Linked DNA regions of Stegostoma tigrinum. The protein of the gene in region 2 interacts with the protein of the main gene of each other region in a biochemical or structural test. Links are inferred from orthologs where the notes say so. Each region holds a gene or a part of one and is shown on either strand. Other genes may lie near its edges.

The links.
Region 1: the proteins of rc3h2 (region 2) and klhl6 form a complex in vitro, tested with the Homo sapiens proteins (2 studies listed by BioGRID, with this or other methods). The link is inferred for Stegostoma tigrinum from reciprocal best matches to the Homo sapiens genes RC3H2 and KLHL6.

The regions. Positions count from the first base shown.
Region 1 is NC_081367.1:10,818,561-10,827,233, reverse strand, and holds the start of klhl6 (kelch-like protein 6), read left to right. Parts: upstream 1-4,799; 5' UTR 4,800-4,834; coding exon 4,835-5,094; intron 5,095-8,673. UniProt on the Homo sapiens protein: Involved in B-lymphocyte antigen receptor signaling and germinal center formation.
Region 2 is NC_081382.1:22,885,612-22,894,136, reverse strand, and holds the start of rc3h2 (roquin-2), read right to left. Parts: upstream 3,381-8,525; 5' UTR 2,928-3,380; intron 2,689-2,927; exon of another isoform or gene 2,194-2,688; intron 1-2,193. UniProt on the Homo sapiens protein: Post-transcriptional repressor of mRNAs containing a conserved stem loop motif, called constitutive decay element (CDE), which is often located in the 3'-UTR, as in HMGXB3, ICOS, IER3, NFKBID, NFKBIZ, PPP1R10, TNF and in many more mRNAs.

The DNA.
Region 1 (8,673 bases), on a different chromosome or scaffold from region 2:
CTCCCTAACCGGTTCTTCCTCTCACCCATCCCTTCCTCCCACACCAAGCCGCACCCCCAGCTACCTACTAATCTCATCCCACCTCCTTGACCTGTCCGTCTTCCCTGGACTGACCTATCCCCTCCCTACCTCCCCACCTATACTCTCTCCACCTATCTTCTTTACTCTCCATCTTCGGCCCGCCTCCCCCTCTCTCCCTATTTATTCCAGAACCCTCACCCCATCCCCCTCTCTGATGAAGGGCCTAGGCCCGAACCGTCAGCTTTTGTGCTCCTGAGATGCTGCTTGTCCTGCTGTGTTCATCCAGCCTCACATTTTATTATCTTGGATTCTCCAGCATCTGCAGTTCCCATTATCTCTAATACAAAAGGGTAATTTATTTAACTATGCTTTTTAGAAATGTGCTGTGCACAAGCAAGCCACAGTGGTTATTAGAGATAGTAGGAACTGCAGATGCTGGAGAATCTGAGATAACAAGATGTAGAGCTGGATGAACACAGCAGGCCAAGCAGCATCAGAGGAGCAGGAAGGCTGATGTTTTGGGCTAGATCCTTCTTCAGAAATAGACCCTTCTGAAGAAATAGACCTTTCCAAAATGTCAGCCTTCCTGCTCCTCTGATGCTGCCTGCCCTGCTGGGTTCATCCAGCTCTACACACTGGTTGTTATATTGCAACACTTCCGAAGTATGTCAGTCAATGTGAATGCTTTTGGGTAGATATCCTGAGATAGTAAACGTGCTATACAAATGCATGCTCTTTCTTTCAGATGACAGTCAACGTCTGTGGTTGCACATAAATCAAAATAGGTCACACATGTGGAACACCTATGCTCAGTTCGCGACAAACGCACCTCCCAGTTGCGAACCATTTCAACTCCCCCTCCCACTCCTTAGACAACATGTCCATCTTGGGCCTCCTCCAGTGGCACAATGATGCTACCCAAAGGTTGCAGGAACGGCATCTCATATTTCGTTTGGGAACCCTGCAGCCCAATGGTATCAATGTGGACTTCACAAGCTTCAAAATGTCCCCTCCCTGAATGCATCCCAAAACCAGCCCAGTTCATCCCCGCCTCCCTAACCTGTCCGACCTTCCTCCCACTTATCCACTCCTCCCACCTCAAGCCCCATCCCCACCTCCTAACTACCAGCCTCAGCCGGCCTCCTTGACCTGTCCATCCTCTCTGGATTGACCTATCCCCACCCTAGCTCCCCACTTACACTCACCTTTTCTGGCTCCATCCCCGCCCCTTTGATCTGTCTGTCTCCTCTCCATCTATTTTCTCCTCTATCCATCTTCGATCCGCTTCCCCCTCTCTCCCTATTTATTTCAGAATCTCCTTCCCCTCCCCCATTTCTGAAGAAGGGTCTAGGCCCGAAACGCCAGCATTCCTGCTCCTCTGATGCTGCTTGGCCTGCTGTGTTCATCCAGCTCTACACCTTGTTATCTCAAAACACATTCAGCTCTGTTCTAGCTGGAGTCAGTTCCCCCCCAGGGATGTGAGGGAGGGAATGGGAGGGTTAGTTAAAGATAATGATTTTGTGCAACACAATATTCTGAAGTAATGGAGGGAAAACGCACCATCATGTAGCCTTCCACAAATGTGACAATGATGATGTGTTATATGTTTAAGGAAAAAGTAAAGCTTGTCAAAAACATTTTAACAATGATTGAGCTTATAAATTCAAACCCTAGCCCCCAGCCCCAGGAAGGACAAGAATTGTCCATTATATCCTGAGATTTAGACTCTTATTCCGGCTTTGGTAGATGAATGTTGAGCAAAGGTTTTAAGATGTCCCATCGGAAAAGGCATAACTGAGGGGAAGGGGATTAATCTCAAAGTGAGATGGATATCTGTAATAGTTAGTGGAGCAGATCATTCTGTGGAACAATAGGCCCACTTCTCCAAACAGGACAGAGGAGGGCGGAGCTTAAAGTGAACTTCCTCTGATGCAAAATAACAACAGATCCAATGACCTGGAAAACAGCCAGAATATTAAGTGACTCTAAGAAGAGTGCTAAATTGAACTAATTGTGTGCATTTATACAGGGATATACACACACACACACACACACACACAAACACGACAATTTTTTGTCAATTTAAATCGGCTAACCAATGTAGGGAAGTGGGGAATGGTGTGTACGAGCCTTTGCGTGTGAAGTGAATTAATATCAGCAGCGATATGGTGATTAACTTATAATATCTGTTGGTTTTCCTGTTCCCCTATTGACTGGATCTTGACCTGAATTAACACATTCCAAATTTTTCCCTGAAAGTCAGCAAGTTCCAAAATCTGGCATGGCCTCAGTACTGAGGCAGAGGGATTTCGGAGAGAGTACCTTTTGTATGAGCACTGTCCTAATAGTTTTATCTTTTATCATTCTGGGAGTCTTAGTGTGTACTCAATCAAGCCACTATATTCTTCCTGAGGTGCAGTGCTCCTAGACTAAACACAATACTCCGGAAGAAAACTGATCAAGAGCCTGTAACTGTTGCACAACTTCCTTATTTTAATATTGTGACATGCTTAAAATAAACCAGATTGCTTTCATAGAATCATAGAATCCCCACAGTGTGGAAACAGGCCCTTCGGCCCAGTCCATACCGAACCTCAAAGCATCTCACCCAGACCCACCCCGCTATAACCCACCTGAACACTATGGGCAATTTAACATGGCCAAACCACCAAGCGTCTCTACCTTTTGCAGGCAACATTGAACACACAGAACATTCAAACACTCGCAGTTGTTTACTTAGCAATAATTGCCTTCAAAAAATGTATGGGGCATCGTGGAGATGATCTAGTGAATGAACTGGATTGACAGACCTGATGCAAATTTGCTGTCAAAGTTCATCAGATCACTCCCTGCACTCTGCATTGGAAATACAGAGCAGACCAATAAAGTAGGGGTTTGTAAATGCTTGATAAGTTTCATCTGCCCTGCATTTGGATAGCTGGCACTCAAGTTTCTGGCGTGGCCCATGGAATTGTTCACACTTTTACACAAATTGGAAATGGCCTTGCAATTGACAACCTCCCTGGGAAAGGTCAGAGGATAGACTATTGCAGCAGGCGGTGCTAATCTGACACTGAGGTTGGATTGAAGTTGAATTGCTGCTATTGATAACTTGCCACATCTTGTTATAACACTGTAGTGGAAGATTTACTCTATATCTGACCTGTGCTGTTTCTCACCTGGGAATGCTTCACGGAACAGTTTCTACTCTGTAGCCAACTGTGATGCATATGACCTGAGAATTTCTCAATTTTACAGTCAGCTTTACTCTGTCTCTAACTTATCCTTGTTTTAGCAACACATGACGAGACAGGATAAGGGAGTTTTATTTTATGTCGACCTTGGCTGTAACTGCCCAGGGAGTGTTTGATGCGACCGTACAAGAGATTTGCACTGTAATTAAGACTGGAAATGTTTGTTGACACAGTGTAGAGGAAGCTTCACTCAACACCCAATCTGTGGTTCTTAACTTGGGACAGTTTGATAGGGTTCAAGGGTTAAAAAGTGAAAAAATGCTCTATTTGAGTTGACATCCTATAACCCAAAAAGCATCATTTGTAAACTTGCCTCACTTTATTCCAGTGATTATATTTAGTCTGTGGATGTTGGTATGTTCGTCGAGCTGGGAGGTTTGATAGCAAACGTTTCATCCCCTTACAAGGTGATATCCTCAACCAACGTCTACAGCCAACAGCCGAAGCTACAATCTTCACTCAAATCCAGAACTATATTCAGTCTGCGCTGATTGTCTCAGGAGACTGCAATATTACACTACAGTTACATATAATGAGAATGCTTAATCCTGATTCCCTATCAGCCTGACGACTGTGTTTCAACGGGATCCATTGCCCTGTCTATTGGTCACACTTGCTGCACTAGATCCCCTCATCCTAAGACCATAAGACATAGGAGTGGAAGTAAGGCCATTTGGCCCATCAAGTCCACTCCACCATTTAAATCATGGCTGATGGGCATTTCAACACCACTTCCCTGCACTCCCCCCCCCCCCCCCCCCCCCACTCCGTAGCCCTTGATTCCTTTTGAGATCAAGAATTTGTCGATCTCTGCCTTGAAGGCATCCAACGTCCCGGCCTCCACTGCACTCTGCGGCAATGAATTCCATAAGCCCACCACCCTCTGGCGGCAGTGATATAGCTTTGCACTAGGGTTAGAATTTGTGAACTCACTGCGAGAGGCAGTGTTTGCACTTTGCAACACAATGTATGAACTTTCCAAGCCCATAGCATCAAACATCAACAAGCACCATTATCCTCCAGGAGAGATGGTGGAACATTAAAGGAATTGCGTGATGGAAAATCATCGCTGTCTTGTTGTGGACCTGCCAGAAAACATCTTATTCTGGGGAAGGCATCCCTCAGATTGGAACTGACTGTCGCATTGAGGATTCAGATCAGACACGCTCATCTTCCAAACCCTTGCTTTGCCTCTTACACCCAATGGCTATAAACGTTCTGATATTATTGGAGCTGTATCCAGTGAAGTAACTTTCAGCTCTCTGTACAGCAGAAAGGAAACTTGAAAGAGGTGCAAAAACATTTTATTATGATCATTCGATGGGCTAACAACTCCACATCAGTACAGGCAGGGGGTGAGGGGGGCAGGGGAGGATGGCGAAGAAGGAAAAAAATACGAGAAAGTGTTGCTCTTCCTGTTCTGCATATGTGTTGGTCTCTGATAAGAAGCGAGTCATGAGCAGGAAATCCGTCAAAGGGCAACATTACAACTGACTGTGAAACCTCAAAACGCTGCATCAGCCTGTGAGGAGTGGAGCAACCAGGCAGGAGTATGCGAAATGGCTGTTGTAGTGGAGAGCAGCAGCGACAAGGGCTCGAGCTGCCAGGCTGGGAAACATACCTGGGCTGTTGAGGGGCTGACAGAAAGCTCGTCAGACGGGACAGTGACTTTCAACGACACCGGCTTCTCCACTATCCTGCAGGGTGGCCTGGATGACCTCCGGCTGGACAGCTCCCTCACGGATGTTGTCCTGTGTGTGGATGACAGAGAGTTTTCCTGTCACCGGGTTGTGTTGGCAGCTGCCAGCAGTTACTTCAGGTAGGCCGAAAGCATCATTTCTTTGTTTATGTGCCAAGACTGTTGGATATTTCCTTCGGCCCAGCATCGGTGACTGTACCTTCAGTTGTCTAGGCCTGAAGTCCTGACTTCCATCTCTTAAACTCCTTTGCCTCTCCTCTGTGGACCTTTAAAAAGCTCCTTCAGACCTCCTTGTTTGACCAAACATCTGCTCACTGGCCCTAATATCTCCTTTGTGTCAACACAATTATCTGTGTCTGATAATTCCCTTGTGGGGAGTCCAAGTCTTTTTTTAACTGTATTGGAGACACTGCATAAAGGCAATTTGTTGATATTCAAGTTAAATCTTGCCATGGATATTCCACGACAATCATTTCTTTGGGACGACGCTAATTTCTGCCCAACGTTTGAATAGTTCCCGAGTTTGAGAATGTCTTTGCCAGCAACAACTTGCATTGAAATAGCACCTTTAATGTATCATCACAGCAGAATAATAGGATGGAAAAATGACACCAAGTCGGAAACAAAGGCCCAAAGCAAAGCATAGTTACAGTGATGGAGAGGTATGTTTTAAGTAGCATCTTAAGGGAGAAAGAATAGACAAAGAGCTTTGAAGGTGGTGCTGAAGCCTGTAAACCAATAAAGAGATAAAGAAATATACAGTAATAGTGCTCCAAAACCTCACTGTTCTGTGGCCAATCATTTTTACTCAAAGAAACTCTGTACCTGTCTTTCTGTTCACTGTTTAAGTGCCACAGCTGACAAATAGGAATGGCTTCAGTTATTAGTTTGTTCCTGATGTCTCAGTGTGGTATCCTATTGCTGATCTGTGATTATTGGAGCAAAACATTAGGGAAATGTGAGGATGAGCAAACATTGTCAACTTTGTGCCTCCCGAACAGGAAACAATTAAAAAAATTCATTCATTTTCATTGATTCGTTCATTTACTTGCATTTATTAGCCACGGACATTTTTAAATACCAAAGGAAAGACCCAGGAATATGCCCAAATAAAGTTGGCTACTCAATATGTGAGACAAATCACGGGCCCATTTAAAGATGCAAAAGATTGTGGGGAGTGGGCCCCTAAGATGACACAGTGTGGAGCTGGAGGAACACAGCAGGCCAGGCAGCATCAGAGGAGCAGGAAAGTTGACACTTCGGGTCGGGACCCTTCTTCAGAAATGGAGATGGGAGCTCGGAAATAAATACAGATGGTCCTGACCTGAAACGTCGACTTTCCTGCTCTTCTGATGCTGCCTGGCCTGCTGTGTTCGTCCAGCTCCATACTATGACTCCAATATCAGCCTCTGAGCCCCTAAGAAAATATGTCTTTGGCTATAGATATCAAGCTGATAGACTGACACATCTTTTCATCGCATGCAGTGTGTTGTGCTTTTACTTTAAATTTATAAAGACATAAACCATCTAACAAATTTATACATCATCAGAACTTTCAAAAGCACTAAAAAGCCAATGAGGTACTTTTGAAATGTCATCAGTGTTGGTATATATGCAGACGAAGTAGCCAATCTGTGCACAGAAAGATCACACAGGCAGCATCATTGCCACCTGTCCCTTGAATTGAAGATGACGTCAATGTATGATTGTGTGTTTCCAGCATGGGTCCCAATATGATTCACAGGCCAATTCTCAACCTACAGATCTTTGGGTACATTGGTTGGATGAGGCAGTGGGATCTGGGGTGCAGGATTTGCTTTCTTTTCTTTCCTTCTCTGCCATTACGTCACTTCGTCATTAATGTTTTCAGGCAAAAATGTGATCAAACTTGATAGAAAGATTGTTGCCATTTTGAACATATGGAAGCAATCTCCTCCCGGTCACTGATGTCAGTGATGCTGTTCCTCAAGGAGAGTTTCGGAGAGTCTTTATAGTGTGTTCTTTCCCCTTCCCTGGAACATTGACCATTCAGTAGTTGAGAAGACGGGACCCAGCAGGCGAGATAATTTCAGCCATCCACTGGACACTGAGCTCAATTCTTCACCGCTAATCTTGCTGGGGTTTCTTCTGAATGTTTGTGGAACTGGCTTCAAGAAGGACAGTAGTATTTCTTTCATAGACCTCCCATTTAATCAGGTGTATGCAGCAGAGTCTTTATTGATGGAATGTCCAGGTCCCTTGCAGCACAGAAATGTGTTGATGACAGCTGGTCCATTCATATAGACGTTTGTTAACTTGCATAGATCTTCATTGCCGATAAAACATAGGCAGCAATGTGATAATGACTGATTAATTCACTGTTGAGGGATTAACTTTGGCTTTGTGTTTTATGGAATAAATAGCAATAGCAAGTTACAGATTTCTCCCAAATTTTTGCTTGGGGACGTGTTAAAATTAGCGACTGAATCAATGACACCAATTTTACACAGAAGTCACTCTTGGTGGAGATTGAGGGATGAACATTGGTCAGGGCATCTGGAAGATACCTTTGATCTTCAAGTTGCTATAGTTCATGTGAAAGTGAGCATTTCCAATAATGTTCTTTCTCTTTGTCTTACACTGAACCAACAGGTTAGATTATGTCAACAAACCTGGACTGGGTCTTAAACCCCTTATCATTTGACTCAGAGCCAAGTAGTGCCACAAAATAATTCTTTACATGGAACTCTCAGCAGGTTATTGTGGGGTGAATGTTGATTGGTGAGTAATTCCCTGTGGGATACTATGTGGGTTAGAGACCCCAAGTAGTCATTGTCTGGGGGATAGTAACAGCTCAATGGTACCCCGTGACCAGATCCTTAACGCAAATGTCTCCCATGCCCAATGGAACAAGCATCGCAAATCACTGGAACCTCCCAACAATACCAAAAGACTCTGAAAGATGTAAAACCTATTTATGGTGTAGTCCATACCAAAGAATTTTTGAATTGACTAGAAGAAAATTCAAGTCATGGCGAATGTAAATTCACACTGTGGAGCCGTGTCCCAGAACTCATATTTGTTAGCATCTCCTGTGGCCGATTCCTGTCCATGGGAAACCATCTGAGAAGGAGTATAACCTGACTTCTCGACACCATCATCAGTCCAGGACCAGGCCCATCACTTCATTAGATAGGATTATAGAAACATCCTGCAGGTGGAATATTGAGTCCTTTGCATGGAAATCGACAGGGAAATGTTGTAAAGCTCAAAGCCACTATTGAAAGAAAGAGAGTCATTGCATTTATAATGTTCCTTTGACAAACTCAAAAATGCCATAATGCATTGTATAATACCATGGAAATGTTAAAAATTCAGCATCAGGGTACCACAAGTAACAATGTGATAATGATTTGGTTAAATGTTTTCATGGGCGTTAGTTAATATTAATCAGGATCCTAGGGAGAGCTGCTCTGGTCTTTTTCCAATAGCATCATGGGATCTTTTATGACTACCCAAGAAATGTAATATCTCAATTGAAAGCCAGCAGCCCAACAGTATGCATTGATGTGACAGCCCAGAATATGCACTGAAGTCATTGCAATGTATCAGCTCACAAAATTCAGACTCATAGGTGAGAGCGCCACTTCAAAATTGGGAAGGCGTTGGCTTAGTGATATAATTGCTGGACAGTTAATACAGAGACCCAGGCAATCTTCT
Region 2 (8,525 bases):
GATTGATCTTATGAAGAAAGGTTGAACAAGTTGGGTCCAAACCCATTAGACTTAGAAGAATAATCTCATTAAAACGTGCAAGATATTGGACGGATACTAGGAAGATGTTTCCTGTTGTGGGGAAACTAGAAACAATGGACACAGTTTAAGACACCTCCCTTTTAAGAAGAGGAGAATATTCTTTTCTCTTGGAAAGTTATTAATGTGAAATGCTCTTCCCTAGAGAGAAAACAAGAAGAGACTCAGTCAATAAATTTGTTTAAGGCCAAGTCAGATAAACTTGAGACAAGTGAGTAAAGTGTTAGGATAAGAGGACAACCATTGAGACCACAACCATATTAACCCTGATCTTACTGCACGGCAGGCTCAAAGGGCCTAATGCCTACCCTCGTTCCTAATAACTATATATGGATATATGGATTACTATAAAACAAATTAATTCACTTGAAACAGAGTTTGGTTGCATTGCAGTTACATTACTGAACCAGTAATCCAGAAGCTTCAGCAAGAACCAGTGTATGCAAATTCAGATCCATCAAATGTAATTTAGGAATTTTAATTCAGGAGAGGCAATGGCCACGACTATTACCACTGGACTATGAAGTCAGAGACATAGGCAATGTTCTGGATTCAAAAACAAAATCTGGAATTAAGAATCTACTGACCATGAATCTATTGTCAACTGTTGGAAAATCCCATGTGGTTCATTAATATCCTTCAGGAGTCTGCAATCGTTTTCTGATCAGGTCTACATGTCACTGCAAACCCACAGCAATGTGGGTGGCTCTTAACTGTCCAACTGGGTTGGATAATAAATGCTGGCATAGCCAGTAGTCTTCATCTGATGAATGCATAACAAAGAAAGTTTCAAATATCTTGAAATAAAAAGATTAAAATAAATCAACTATGCTGTTAGATTTTTGTGAAAACCCACCTGGTTCACTATTGTTTATGAAAAGAAAGTCTTCCATTTTTACACACAGTCTAGTTTCCCAAAAATGTAGGGGTCTCAAAAATAGCCAAGCAAGCCACTCTGAAGTATCACTCAAGTATAAATATTCAGCAGTTGAAGAAGGCATTGAATCACTACCTTTTCAAGGTAACAATGGATGAACAAGAAATGCTAATCCTATCAGTAATACCCAAATCTGAGAACACCTTCTAAAGAAATATAATTGCTTCCAAATTTAGTATTTGTTAACAGAAAGACAAGAAATCTGCCAAATTGCAACTTTCAATTATGTACCAATGTAAAAATGCATCTAACTACTTACTAGTCACAAAGCAATTATGACTTGAACAGAGAACAAAAATTAAACACAGACCAATGAAGAACTTTCATTAGCTTTCACATTCACCCAATAACCAAATCTATTTATTACAAGCTGTATATTTTTTTTTAAATGTTTTTTCTACTTAATGTATTGTACATATCATGAATGTGACCAGCTCCAAGATTAGATATCCAAAGCAACTGTATGATTACATCCTTTTTGTATAAATTCATTCATGGGAATGGCTTGGCCAGCACTCTGCTCATTTCTAATTGTCCTAGAAGAGGTGGCTGTGAGCTGTTTCCTTGAACCGCTGCGGTTCTTGGGCTGGGAGGATAGCTACTGTGCAGTTGATAGAATTGTTCCAGGATTCTGAACCAGCAAAAGTGAAGGAAAACCAATATACTTCCAAGTCAAGGTTGTGTTTTGACTAATCGTGAACTAGCAACATTGTGCTGTCAGTTGTATTTAGGTTACCTATATAAAATACGATTGCTTTAAGTTGGTCAAGTTGACTTGACACTAACACTGTAGGGAATCTAGTCTAATCGAACAGAGCAGGTCTTGCAGAGAGACGCTTCTTACATTCAAACATAGGAAGGGTGTGACTTTACGTGAAGGAAGCATCGAGTCAGGTCATCTGCGACTATTGTAATAATCAGCAACAAATATATTAGAGTGAATGTAGTTTTTTTTAAGTCTGTGATGTAAAACTTGTCATTGTGTCTAACCAACCCGATTTAAGAAATAAATGGAAAAGCAGAAATGACACGGCCAACCACTGTATGAAGTGCCAGATAGGGCAATGCTGATTGCAGATTTGTGCGCGCTTATTGCGCAATTATATGCACTCAATGGAAACAAATAGCAACTATAAGAAGGCGACGTTTTAATGTTAATTCTAAAGTAAATCACAAACCTAGAACGGTGTTTTTTTTCGGAGGGGACAAGGGAGTGTCAAAACGTTCCTGATTACAGAAAATCTCGTGCATTGCTAGGGGAGGCAGCCGTTTAAAACACCTGATTCCCTGAGCGCCGAAATAGGGCTGCGTGATCGGGCAAGGCGCATGTCACAGAGCTTGAGGCCGAGAAGATGATTTTTAAAAATGCCTACGATGCCTCCAAAAGCCTGGTCCCTTTCTCCATCAGACTTGTGTCAGGACAGCACAACACACCCACAGCCTCACAGCACTGATACTTCGGGAAAACATGGCGATTACACTTGTCATCGTGTGTCGGGGAAGCCAGCTCCGGCTGCGGAAGGGCGCCGGGTCAAGCCCAGTCGTTCGCCTCAACCGCAAATTCTCCGGGTGTCACATTTATTCGGCGCTGCCTTGGTGCCGAGATACAAATGACAGCGGGTTAAAGCTGCCTCGCCTCAACACAACGAAAGGATCCGCACCTCAACCTAACCTGACAGGCTTTCCTCCCACCCTCATCGCGGCCAGCAATAATTGACAGGGGCCCCAGCCAATCGCAATGGTAACTTCGGACGAAGGATTTGCCAAACACCAATCGGCAGGTCCGGAGGGTGTGGCTAACAAGGGCTACAGGCAACACGTTCGGTTGTCTTTGACAGCTGCTCCCCGTAAAAAGCACGGGCGGCCCGGGGGAGGAAGGGAGGTTGGTGGTGAAGGAGTAAAAACTCTTTACCTTTTCTGTAGGCACTAAGAAGAAGTAACATCCATCTTTCCATCGAAGAAAGAAAAACTTTAATAAGTTAACTTCACAGAAGCAATTAATGGATACATGTAAACAGCGGCTTAACCGCGGGTCATAAAAGCCGATGGAAGGTCGAGTCGTTGGCGGTGCAGCGCTGCTCCGATTCCGACATTTTGCACCGGATCGTGGCGACTCCCCGTTAGGGAGACCTTAACAGGAAGGGAGTATCTCTGCCGTGTATCCCTCCGCGCAACGGTCTCTCCTCACAACAAACACTCGGCTTCTAAGGTACGGGAGGATCCCCATCATTCAATTCCTGGGCTTTAATCTTTTCTTCTTTTCCACCCCTTTCCTGGTTGCCTTTTTTTTTATTGCCACGACTTGTCGGTTGTTTCTCTTCCTCTCACCCCGCCCCCACGCGCCCTCGGTCGCCCTGCGTCTCATCGTTTCGCCGGGCACTACTTTTCCGTGTCGCGGAAGGATGTGGCGGTGTGGAACGGTCAAGCCGGAACGAGCCGCTTTTTTGAGGCGGAGGCGACGGTGACGGTTTGAGTGGGGCTCGAAGGGGTAAGGCCGACAAGATGACGGATTTCACATCGTCTTACCCATGGCCAGAGCAGACAGCAAACGTACTCCCCACCCAAACTTGGGTTGTTTTCTTTTCTCTGCAACGACCACCTTAAGTGAATTGTGTTGACACGCTGAGAAGAAGGGCCAAAGTTGACTCACGTAGTTGTGTAATCAAGCACACATACTGTGTTTGGAGAAAGTCAAGAGGGTGCATATCATTAAAAAAAATTGCTTGCACCTCCCAAGGGTCAGGGGTTAGGGTTAGGTGGTGTTATTATCTAGCCGAGGCACTTTCAAAAATCACCAAAGCAAAACGTGCGCCAACGCTGCAAAGTAAATACCACATAGTGCTGGAGAAACGCAGTAGGTCTGTGGAGAGAACAACAGCTAACTTTTCGCATCTAGTGATCCTTCGCCAGAACTGCAGTTAACTCTTGTTTTCTCTCCACAGATGTGGCAGACTTGAGTTTCTCCAGTGATAGTAGGAACTGCAGATGTTGGAGAATCTGAGGTAACAAGGTGTAGAGCTGGATGAACACAGCAGGCCGAGGAGCAGGAAGGCTGATGTTTCGAGCCTAGCTACATCAGAAATTTTTGAAGGTCCCTGACCCGAAACGTCAGCTTTCCTGCTCCTCTGATGCTGCTTGGCCTGCTGTGTTCATCCAGCTCTACACCTTGTTATTGGAGTTTCTCCAGTACTTTCTTTTTGTGATGCATGATACTACTTTTAAAGGTTACTGTTAATTTATGGTATCTATTAAATTTGTAACCCAATAGATTAAATTACAACGTTCTTTGCAGTATCAAGTGTGTAAATCTTGACAGAAAATGTGAAATAACTGAAACATCACAATATTACCAGTATTATACAGTAATCAACTACATTATTTATGCATAATAATTGTATCATAAATAACCCATGTGCAGGATGACATTTGGTGTGCTGAGTTGTTGGTGTCAACTTGCACCTGCTGCCAACGCAGAAACATAATAAAGTATAATGAAGAAAAAGAAAATCAAATAGCATGTAATGAGTTGTTTCAAGATAGTAAGTCTTGTTTCAGAAAATAGTCTAAACCATTCATGTTTTATGATTTATTTTAGAGTCACCATTAAATATCAATCTTATTTGCATACAGTCAAGAAATGAAAGATGAGAAATAGGTTACCACCTGCTGTCCTCTCAAGGGGCATTAATACAAGTCTCAGCACAGCATACTGTGCAAAATTTCTTTGCACAGGCTTTAACACATTATGCTTCCAATTATGTGATCTTCTAGCACAATAAATGATTTAAACTAATGTGGGAGTATGGATCTGTAAGGAAAGTGGAAAATTTGTTTAAAAGTCTCAACCAATCTGTAACTAATTATGAGAGATAATGGGAACTGCAGATGCTGGAGATTCCAAGATAATAAAATGTGAGGCTGGATGAACACAGCAGGCCAAGCAGCATCTCAGGAGCACAAAAGCTGACGTTTCGGGCCTACACCCTTCATCAAAGTAACTAATTATGGAAGGGTGGATAGGCAAAGCCCAAAGGAAGGTCACCATAGTCTTAGAGGACCATAGGCTGCTCTTTCATTAGAAAAAAAGTGACTGGTGGTGGTGGTGGTTTAACCTGCGAGTCACCACGCCTCAGGCAAGAAGGGCTGGGAAGGACAGTCCCACATAGTAACCTCAGCTGGTGAGACTATTTGATAGCCAGCTAATGCAGTGCTAAGAAGTTGACAAAATTATTTCTAAAATTGGGATTATTGCCACTAAACTTTCCTTGGTCGATCAATGTCAGAAGCCAGGTTGATCAGTTTGGTGTACCACATACCTGTTTGGAAAGTCGTCTTGTACCAAAGCAGTTTACTGCTGACCCTTTATTTGGATGATGGTGGTAGCTGAATTTTAATTGGCTTAAATCAACTCAGGAGGCTATGACAAGTCATTTTGGTGAATGATATTTCACAAGAAAATTCTGGTATGGCTCCACAAAAGAGATGCCTCACACACAGACCTCATCCAATTAGACCACAAGACATAGGAGTGGAAGTAAGGCCATTTGGCCCATCAAATCTACTATAATTGGCAGAGTGGACATGAACAAAATAGACAAAATTCTGACTAAGATATATTTTTGAATGAAAACATAATCTTTGTTTTTCAAGTAAAGAAACAAAAATAGCCCTGAATTGTCCCACACTGTATCTCGTACAACCTTCCACTCTTCACCTCCTTACATGTGCAAATGGATTCTTTGGTACTTTTCTTATGCAATTAGGAGAGGTGAAAGTGTTTGCCACTGTTGATATCGTTTAACATTCAGACTGCCAGCGTCATATTTAGAGCCCATCTGCACAGCACCTAAGATGCTGCAAGACAGGAGCTGTCCCTCAAATGGCTGTGCCTCCAATATTATCAGTGGTGAAATGGTCCAAGGCGGCAAGTTAGCTCCCTGCTGTGTATAAGGAACCCAAAGCTGCTGGTGGTTGGAATGATGGAGAAGACAGCAGAACTTTATCTTGTCATTACAGGAGACCACAACACCAGAAACAATAACCATGACACGGATAATGATTCAAGTCACTGCTGTGTTGTAAGTGAAAAGGAATGCATGTTATTGCACGGTAAAGGCTAACAATTATCTGCACATTATGAGTAGGTCCCACCATCATTTCTCTGATTCACAGGTTCACCAGTCAATCGAATACTAGCACTCCACACACATCTCATCAAGACTTGCAGACGACAGCTCTCATAATTACATGAATAAGGTCCACTTAACAGCTCTCATCCACTTCATAATCCAAAACTACAAACCATATCTGCCTATTGTGCTTCATACTTGCTCACTGGGAACACCTCACCATTTCTCCCAATTCTGCCTGACCAGTAACTACTCTTTCATCGTACTCAATCCTTCCCTGATGTCACCAGAGGACCCTCACTGAATGTTGCAGCACCCCTGCCTGACTAAAGTCATCTTTGATTTCACTGAGGACTACTCCCCTTTCACTAGCGGACATTTGATTGAAGCACATGCAGCTGCTTAAGCTGCTGGCACACGATATATGTATGATACTGACATAGCTTGGCATTGTACAGTGATATGTCCATCCCCTTGGCTGTTCAGTATTCCCCAAATGTGATTAGGAAAAACAGGTAGCCTTTGTGCTAAAACGTAATGCAGAGAGATTGACGGCTTCCAAGTAAGCATAAATTAGATAAGCATTAAAGTAAAGCTAAGAATCCATAATATGTTTCCTGTTTAGATGCATGAAATGTCCCTGTGTGTAAAGCAACCTTACAGAAGCATGCAAGTCCTACATGTCCTTGCAGGAAGATGGTGTCCATGGACCACGGTGGCTTAATGTGATGAAGACCCCAGAGTTAGATGAAGGCAGGGACTGCATTTGGCAAGCTGCAGCGAGGTACCTGCTGTGATTTACAAGTCAGGAATTTAGGTTGTCTGGTTTCTTGGAAAAGGAGAGAATTACTAGTGGCAAAGAATGGTAGGTTGGGATGTTTAATGAGATGTAAATACATTGAAATAAGGTAGTCACCACTCAATGGGGACATTCTTTAAACGTTAATCGGAAAATTGGGAATATGTTTTCTTGATGTTGAGATTCAAATTTTTAAAATGCTTACTGTATTTGTTCAACTTGCACTTTCTCAACTTTGACCATGCCAGTTCAGGAAGGGAAAATTCTGCGCATTGCGTCAAATATATTTAACCCAAGATAAAGTAGTTGATGGGTAGCTGCTGAATTTATTGCTGACTAGCAAACAGACATGGGATAATGTACCTCATGGGCAGCCTTACAGTCAAATTTCCTACCAGATTTGTTAATTAACCTATGCATCTTGTCAGCAGAACTTCTAAGACATCAACCAGAGGCTATTTAAAGTAGGATGTCCCTCTCGGAGCAAGATTGCACTCCTTTCTGATTGATTTTGCAGTGGAATTGCAGAGAGAGAAAGTGATTCAGATTGCACTGTTGCTTGTACATCGAAATTGTCTTGACTGTCCCACTGCAAAACATGAAGTTATGGAGAATAATTCTTTTCCATCCAACTCAATGAAGATACAAACATCAAGTGTATGGATTCACTGCCAAGATTATGACTTCTGGGAATATCACTCCCATAATTGGTAGAGTGCAAAAAGCACCTCAGAAGAATGACAATGGTAAATATTCTTTATATTTTTTTTGAATTCATTATTCACACCCACCATCACATTCATTGTCACCCAACAGAAATCCACACCATACCACTACTCACTTGAAAACACATTTTCCTTGCTTCATTCACAGCACACAGTATTCTCACTTTCCCTTCCTCGCATCAAACTTAAGACATAATTTTTCATTCTGAATCCAATTACTTTCAGCACCTTTACAACAAGAGAAGCTCTACAATTGTGTTCTTTTCTCTAGCAGACAGGCACTAACTCTCACACTTCTTTATGCAGAACAAGTTAGTGCACAGCATAAAGAAAAACATTACTGAGAAAAGACCAATCAACATCAAGAATCTTTTCAAGTTGGAGTAGCAACCACTGCATTTGGCGACCTTGCCAGGTCTGTCAGAATAGGACACAGAGTTTGAGGTTCTGCCTACTTTTGAGATTTTGCTGCATCTCCTTAAGAATGTGAGAAAGACATTAAGTTACATTGCAAGTCTGCAGTCCCCTGCTGTACATTACTCAATGCCATACCAAGTCCTGTCCTTTTTCGATTTCTTTTAGGTTCTTTTCAAAAGTCACAAAACTGCAGAAGATATATCAGAAGAAAATCCTGTGAAAGTACTGTTACAGCATGTATTACACCCAATAACTAGTACAGAGGTTAGCACTGGTGATAGGACAGCGCAGGATTTGGCTTTTCAGAGGAAGAATAAAGTATGATTAAGGAATCTGATAGCAAAATGAAATATATTTGTTTCACGTATGCAATTTCATGAGATATATGCAGGCCACAGCTGAAAGTGTGGAAGAGTTTATTTTCCAGTTCTTGTCAATGC